Linked DNA regions of Pelodiscus sinensis. The protein of the gene in region 1 purifies or fractionates together with the protein of each later gene. This does not show direct contact. Links are inferred from orthologs where the notes say so. Each region holds a gene or a part of one and is shown on either strand. Other genes may lie near its edges.

What was found.
Region 2: the proteins of CAPZA2 (region 1) and MTCL1 purify together in Homo sapiens (affinity purification with mass spectrometry; 3 studies listed by BioGRID and IntAct, counting the BioPlex papers as one, with this or other methods). This does not show direct contact. The link is inferred for Pelodiscus sinensis from reciprocal best matches to the Homo sapiens genes CAPZA2 and MTCL1.

Annotation. Positions count from the first base shown.
Region 1 is NC_134711.1:45,679,505-45,683,250, forward strand, and holds the start of CAPZA2 (F-actin-capping protein subunit alpha-2), read right to left. Parts: upstream 2,238-3,746; 5' UTR 2,143-2,237; coding exon 2,089-2,142; intron 1-2,088. UniProt on the Homo sapiens protein: F-actin-capping proteins bind in a Ca(2+)-independent manner to the fast growing ends of actin filaments (barbed end) thereby blocking the exchange of subunits at these ends.
Region 2 is NC_134712.1:84,715,977-84,719,722, reverse strand, and holds the start of MTCL1 (microtubule cross-linking factor 1), read right to left. Parts: upstream 2,852-3,746; 5' UTR 2,228-2,851; coding exon 1,262-2,227; intron 1-1,261. UniProt on the Homo sapiens protein: Microtubule-associated factor involved in the late phase of epithelial polarization and microtubule dynamics regulation.

The DNA.
Region 1 (3,746 bases):
TAGGTGGAGGGAGAGTCAATTGATTTGGGGAGGGGAGGGGGGGCAGAAACTTATTTACTGTAGCAGAGTGAAGATATGGCAATGCAGTGACAAGTAGCCATAAGTACTTCTCAGCCAGATAAGTAAATGTTGTTTCCAAGTTTATCCTATCCAATTTATTTCCCTATTTTTAAAGTAACTTTTCCATACAAGGCTTGGATGGGACTAGTCAACTACAAATTTGTATCTGTTAGCCTTTACGGTTGCTAATTTTACTATTTCTGCTGCTTTTAACACCACACACACAATGTACTCAATAAATTAAAGGGAAAAACTACAGCCGTAAATGTCTCTGCCCTTAGGAGCTATGAACCACTCTATGCTCTGGTGCTAAATTACTATATGAGGAATGTAATAGCATAATCTATTAACTGATATGCAAAAACTTATAGGTTAATGGTATTGACTATATACATTTCCTTCACCACCCTACCCCCTCCCCAGCCAGTACATTTTTAGTAGACTTACCCTGCTGCAGCTCTGCATTTAAATTATATTAGGAGCTGCACAGGCAGGCAGCCTGGCTCAGTCCTGGCTCCCACTGGGTCCTGGACCTACCCCCGCTATGGCTCTACATTTGAAGTGTACTAGGAGCCACATGGGCAGACAGTCAAGCTCAGTTTCGCCTCTTTACCAGAGTCAACAACACTGGGCAACAAGCAGCCAGTCCACAAGGGGAGCTTGGTTGTTCAGGAGTGAGGCCAGAGTGCATTGGCTACCAGCCCCACCCCCAGACACTATAGAATAGTCAACTAACCGATAAGAATTCATGGGGTTACTTGACTATTCAATTAACCAATATTTAACGTCCCTATACTATACCTTTCACTGCTCTCAGTGACTTCATTTACCCATCTCCTTCTAAAATCCACTGCTAGCAGGCCTGATATGTAGGAAGGCTCCCACATTACAATTAACATTACAGAAGGCATTTTCTGTCTTCTCTTTAATTTCAAGGAAATGTAAGATCTCTCTCAATTCCTTAAAATCGCCCACACTTTTGAGTTGCCTTTACAGCTTCATCAGCCTTAAAACTGTATTTATTAGAGATGAGCAATAGGAGTTACATAAGGACATGAGAGCTATACACCACCATGATGTTGGCATATCTCCACATCCTGATTCTGAAGCCTCCTTTTCCATCTGCAACTGCAATGTGCCTTGGTCCAAGAGAAGGAGGACAGACTGAAAAGAGTAGCTTTAACACTCGGGTTTTACAAGATGCCCTTCCCTTATGCATCATCATTTTAGGAAGCTATTTTCAAACCACAGAGGCCAAGTGAGCAAAGAAAGATTTCACATAGCCAAGGGAAAAATTATAAACATCTCGCTGATCCAAAACACTGAGTCTCCTGGAAATGTATTTGCTCTGCCCTTACAATTCACCTCTAAGGATGGGATCTGAAGTCCCCTCCCACGCTCGCCTATCAATGGGGTGGGGGGAGGTGATTCACACAGAGGCTCACTCCTCCAACCTGCAAGAACTCTCCCTTCACTGTATCCCCGGAAGTAAGAGGAGCTCCTACAGACGCCGCCCCCAGGCTCTTTGCAATGGGGGCCGGGAGGAAGACATTGAACTCGGCCCTTACGAGCTATGCCTCCGAGGAGGTCTGGAGACAAGGGAGCGGCCCGAGCGGGCGAGGGGAAGGGCCCGTCTCCGAGACGCCACCCGGCTCGCTCTCTCCGCACCCCCGATCAAGAGGCAGCAGCCGCCCCAGGGCGAGGACCGGGCGAGCCCCGGAAAAGGCGGGGGGAGGAGGAAGGAAAGTGGCAGCGCCTGAGGCCGAGCTCTTTGGGCCGGCCGGGCGGCCTCACGCATCGGACACCGGATCCTGCCCCCAGCCCGGCGCCTGGGGCCTATTTTCAGCCCTCGGACCGTACAAGGCGCGTCGGGAGCTGCCCCTGGGCCGGCCCCGCTGCCGGCAGACTCTGACTGACAGCGCCGGGAAAGGAAGAAGCTAAAAATACAAACGCCGCCGCCTGAGGCAGCGAGGCCCCATCCCGGTCGCTAAGCCCGCCGGGGGCTCCAGCTGCCCCGGCCCGCGGTACCTTCTCCTCATCCGAAAGCTGCTCCTCCAGGTCCGCCATCTTCCGCCCCGCCATGAACAGCCGCCGAGCAGGCTCCTCCCTCCGGCAGGAAAGGCGGGGCCCTCTCACGTGTCTCCCGGCGCCTTCCCCGCGCGGCTCGAGAGGGCGGGACCGCGGCTTGGCCAACGGCCATTGCACGTACGCGCGTGCGCGCAGCGAGGGGCGGGCAGAGCGGAGAGGGAGTCGCATTCGCCGGGGCTCGCGCAGCGCCCGCAGATTGAGGCGAGCTGGGTCCCCGGGGGAGGGTCAGAAACCAGGCGGGTAGATTTCGCGCGGGAGGGGGCGGTCAACGTGTTTCGCCTCAGCTCCCTTGTGCGTGAGCGGGGCCGGCGGTGATGACCCGGATACAGCCGATTTCCGGCCTCTCGCCATTGAGCATCCTCCCAGCACCGCTCCCTGTTGGTCTGTAATGGAAAAAACCAAGGACCAGTCCTGCAGCACCTCAGAGACTAGCACAAATGTAGATGGAATCATGAGCTTTCAAGGGCACAACCCGCTTCTGTAGCTGACTGTGATACATGTGAAGGGAAGCGCCACACTGGGTCAGATATAAGGGCTATACTGTATTTGAGCCCTGGGAGGACAGGTCAAATTGACAGATATCCCACATGGAGAAGCAATTGTTTTTACATTTATTCTTATTTAAATAACATGTTGACTGTCACACGCTTCCACCATCCATAGGCATGGGATTAATAGCACCTGCAGAGAAAATACAAAACTGTGCTCGAGGTTTCAAATATACCCTGACACAAACATTCAGTTGTTACAAGGGGTTAAGACCCAATAGGTGTGCCTCACCCCCACAGCAATGATGGCCCCTGTCTCCAGGTAATAGCCTCAGGACTTCACCGAGAAGTCTGTAGGAATGCCTAACATAATGAATGCTAGTGGGAAGGGGGTAGTTTTAGAAGGTAAAATAAAAAAAGAACAAGTTAAAAATCACCTAGAAAAGTTAGATGCCTGCAAGTCACCAGGGCCTGATGAAATGCATCCTAGAATACTCAAGGAGCTGATAGAGGAGGTATCTGAGCCTCCTGTTGTCATCTTTGGAAAATCATGGGAGACAGGAGAGATTCCAGAGGACTGGAAAAGGGCAAATATTGTGCCCATCTATAAAAAGGGAAATAAGAACAACCCAGGAAACTATAGACCAGTTAGTTTAACTTCTGTGCCAGGGAAGATAATGGAGCAAGTAATTAAGGAAATCATCTGTAAACACTTGGGCTACGTCTAGACTGGCATGATTTTCCAGAAATGCTTTTAACGGAAAAGTTTTCCGTTAAAAGCATTTTTGGAAAAGAGCGTCTAGATTGGCAACGGAAGCTTTTCTGCAAAAGCACTTTTTGCAGAAAAGCATCCATGGCCAATCTTGATGTGCTTTTCCGCAAAAAAGCCCCGATCACCATTTTCGCGATTGGGTTTTTTTGCGGAAAACAAATCTCAGCTGTCTACACTGGCACTTTTGCGCAAAACATTTGCCCGAACGGGAGCAGCATAGTATTTCCGCAAAAAGCACTGATTTCTTACAGTAGGAAGTCAGTGCTTTTGCGGAAATTCAAGCGGCCAGTGTAGACAGCTGGCAAGTTTTTCCGGAAATGGCTGATTTTCCAGAAAAG
Region 2 (3,746 bases), on another chromosome or scaffold:
TGGCACAGCTTGAAGGGAGATCTTCACACTACTGACGAAAGGTCAAATACTCATGCACTTCTTGGCTATGTCTACACTGCAGGCTTCTTGCGCAAGAACAGCTGTTCTTGCACAAAAACTTGGAGAGCGTCTACATTGCACGCGCGTTCTTGCGCAAGTAAATTTACATTAAAGTGTCGGAACAAAGGGCTTCTTGCGCAAGAGTTCTTCCTCTCCCCACGAGGAATAAGCCCTCTTGTGCAAGAGCTCTTGCGCAAAAGGCAATGTGGACGGGCAACTGGGGTTTCTTGCGCAAGAAACCCCTCTGGCTAAGATGATCATCAGAGCTTTCTTGCACAAGAGAGCGTCCACACTGCCATGGACACTCTTGCACAAAAGAACATTTCTTGCGCAAAAGTACATGGCAGTGTGGACAAGCTCTTGCGCAAAACAGTTCCTTGCAAGAAGCTGGCAGTGTAGACATAGCCCTTCTGTGTTTCCATGTTATTTTAAAGGCTTTGGTGAATATAACAAGTAAAACCGGAATTTTGATTTGGTGGGTGATTTTCTTCCAAGAGATGCTGACTTTAAAAATACTGTTAGATTTCAGAAAAATAGCTTCTGAATTTTGACTAACACAATTACTGCATCTGAATTAAAGAATCTACTCCTTATGGTTTCTGTTGCAGCAGGCTGACTTGGGAGAAATGTACTGGATTCCTTTCAGCAGATTTCCCTGTCCAGCAGGCCTTTTATGGAAGACTAGATTTTATAAGACTCAAAACAAAGCCATCCACACACCCCCATCTTCCAAAAGTTTTATCCAGCCTACCGCAGTGCTTAGAACTGTACTGGAGACAAAGGATCAGAGCAGTCAGGGCCCCTGTATATCCTTAAGTGCCAGTTTTTGCGGCACTGCCAACTAGTTGACTGCCAAGCGCTTAGCTACTGATCTCCATAGGCTCAATGAACACTCCCCTTGGCCCATCCACCCCACCACAGCTGCGGGGCCTTGGGTGCGGGTGTTGCTGGTTTCCATTATATACAGTTAAGCTCAGTGGAGGACAGCACTCCCACTGTAAACATTCTTCCAGACCCCTCACACCCCCCCCCCCCGACCTGCAGAAGGAAAATGCCCATCCAACAATTGCCACCTACCCCCTCCAGCTCCAGCCCCACCCAGCCACGTGCACCTGCTCCACCGCTAGTCACTGGGGAGGGGGAGGCGCCTTCCCGCCAACCCATCCCACCCCTGCCCCTCCTCCCCCCCGGCGGGCTCTACCTTGAGATAGTCATTTTCCGAGCGCAGCTCCTCGATCTCCCGCAGCAGCTCCTCCTCCTCGGCCCGCTGGCAGGGGGCGGGCGCGCGGCTGCCCAGCCGCATGGCCCCCGGGCCGGGCGCGCTCTCCGCGGCTCGCCCCCAGCTCGCCGCGTCTCCCGCCGCGCTGCCTGGGCTGGCCCCGGGGGCGGGCGAGGCGGGCTGCGGGCTGCAGGGCGGGGCGGGCCGCGCCGCGGCGGCGCTGCTCTCCGGGGGAGGCTGGCTGGCGCCGGGCAGCGGCGTGCCCGCTCGGCCCGGGGCAGACGGCGGCGGCTGCTCCCGGTCGCTGGAGCCGGTGCCGGACTCGGCGTCGCTGCTGGCGGCCTGGGCCGGGCGCTGCTCGTCGGAGAGCGGTTCGGAGGGGCAGTCGGACAGGTCGGAGCTGCTGTCCGTGTGGCTGAGCCTGGCCGGAGCCGCATGGCCGCTGCCCAGTCCGGGCGCGGCGGCCGGGGCCAGGGAGCCACCCTGCGGCAAGGGGGCGCTTCTCTTCCCCTTCCTGCCTTTGCCGGGCGGGTGGCCCGGCTCCTGCCTGGCCCCGGCCTTGCCGCCCCCCTGCTCCTGGGCCCGGGACGCCTTCTTGCTCCACAGGGCGGCTTTGGCGCTGCCCGTTCGCCCGCCCGCCCCAGCGGCTGCCGCTGCCTTGGCGCCCTGCGAGCCGCTGCGCCTGGAGAGGCGGCTCTGGGTGGCCAGGAGCCCGGCGGATTGGGGCGAGGGGCCCGGCTGCGGCGGCTTCCCCGAGAGGCTGGGGGATTTGGGAGGCACCGGCGGGGGCTTGGCGGAGGATGCCCGGCCGTGGAGATCCTTGAGGAAGGGCCTGGCTGGGGAAGGGGCTCGGTTCAGTCGCTTCTTCTCGCTGTAGGGGTGGTGCTGGCTCTGCTGCTGCGGCTGCTTGAGGGGCTCACTGGGGCTGGTGCCATTTAAAGTCTCCATGGTCCAGGCAGAGGAGGAAGCAGCCGCAGCCGAGGGGGTGTGGGGCACTTGAGGCTCTTTAATCCTGGCCACCCACAGGAATGGCAGCGGCAGCCAGCCTCCGGGCACAGCGCGGCAGCACGAGCAGCCTCCCCCAGCCGCGCCGCTTGTCTTCTCATCACTTCTGCCGCTCCCCAGCCACGAGCCTCACACTTTTCCTCTTTGACCCCCACCCTCGCCCCTCCGCGCAGCCCCCACCCTCCTCCGTCTCTTTCCGGCGCTGGCTCGGTTCAATCACATGCAGGCAAATCCGTTAGTGGCAGGCTGGCAGCTTTCTCCTTCCCTGCCGCGCTCCCCGGCTCAGCCTGATGCAGCACCAAGTTGTTTTGCAGCCCGAGCCATCCACTCGCTTTTCCTTTGGTCCGAGGCGAATGACTGTTTGTTTTCCAACGTCCTCCTCTTCTTTCCCCTGAGCTCACACACCCTCATTCCTCCGCCCCCAGCGGCTACCCCATCTCTCTCCCATCCCTCCTTCTCTCTCGCCTGCGGCGCCCTACAATCTTCCCAGGGTCCTTCCTCCTCCTGCTGAAATAGAGAAACTGCAAAGCCTGCTGTCTCTCTCTCTCTCCGCTCCTGACGCTTCCCCGGTCTGTGCGCATGATCCTCCCCCCGCTGTCACCGAGCCAAACTGCTCTGTGCGAGCCACTTTTTCCTAGAGCTCCCTGTATGCGTGTTTATAACGCCTCCTGGACTAGTTACTACCTATAAATCCAGATAGAAGGACATTTCATACTTCAGCTATTAGGTTAAATATGTTTTTTAGCACTTCACTGCTTTGCAAATAATCTCTCCCAACAGGTTTGCCTCAATAACAATCTGCTACCTGCAGTTTCTCTTGCTGAAGACACCAGTAAAAGCTAGTTATCCAGAAGATCAGTAGCTGGCTATGTGCTGAAATAAAAAATGGATGGAACAGTCCCTTTGGTGCTTACCGGGGTATAAAACAGTAAAGAGATACATTGGAAAGGTATCTACATATTAAATGAAAGGAAGGAGGAATTAAGGCACAAAAAGGGACCTGCCCAATCTAGTGGTTTAAGCATAGAGAGAGACAGGAGATTTCTGGCTCTTCTGCTGACTCACTGTTCTCATCTGTCAAAAGAGGATAGTAAATAAATACATATCTCACAAAGGTGCTGGGAGGCTTAATTCATTCCTGTGTAAAGCTTGGCATAGAAGGCTCTTTCAAAACGTGCCTGTGTGACTTCATGGTCCAGCTCTCTAGTCACTGGAAGTTGGGTGCTTAACATTCTTTGGCACTGTTGAATGTCTCACTCAATATTCAAAATGCAGTATCTTACTATGAAAGGTGGGAGTCGCAAGGATTGCTGAATGTAAGAAAGCCAGATAACCACTCATCCCTCCCAGAGAGTCAGCGCATGCTAACCAGTGGATAGCGCCTGCCTCTGAGTTCAAGTGCCACACTGGAATTTAGATTTATATCTGTATCTGCTGCTGCAGTGCAGTAGAGAAGGTATTG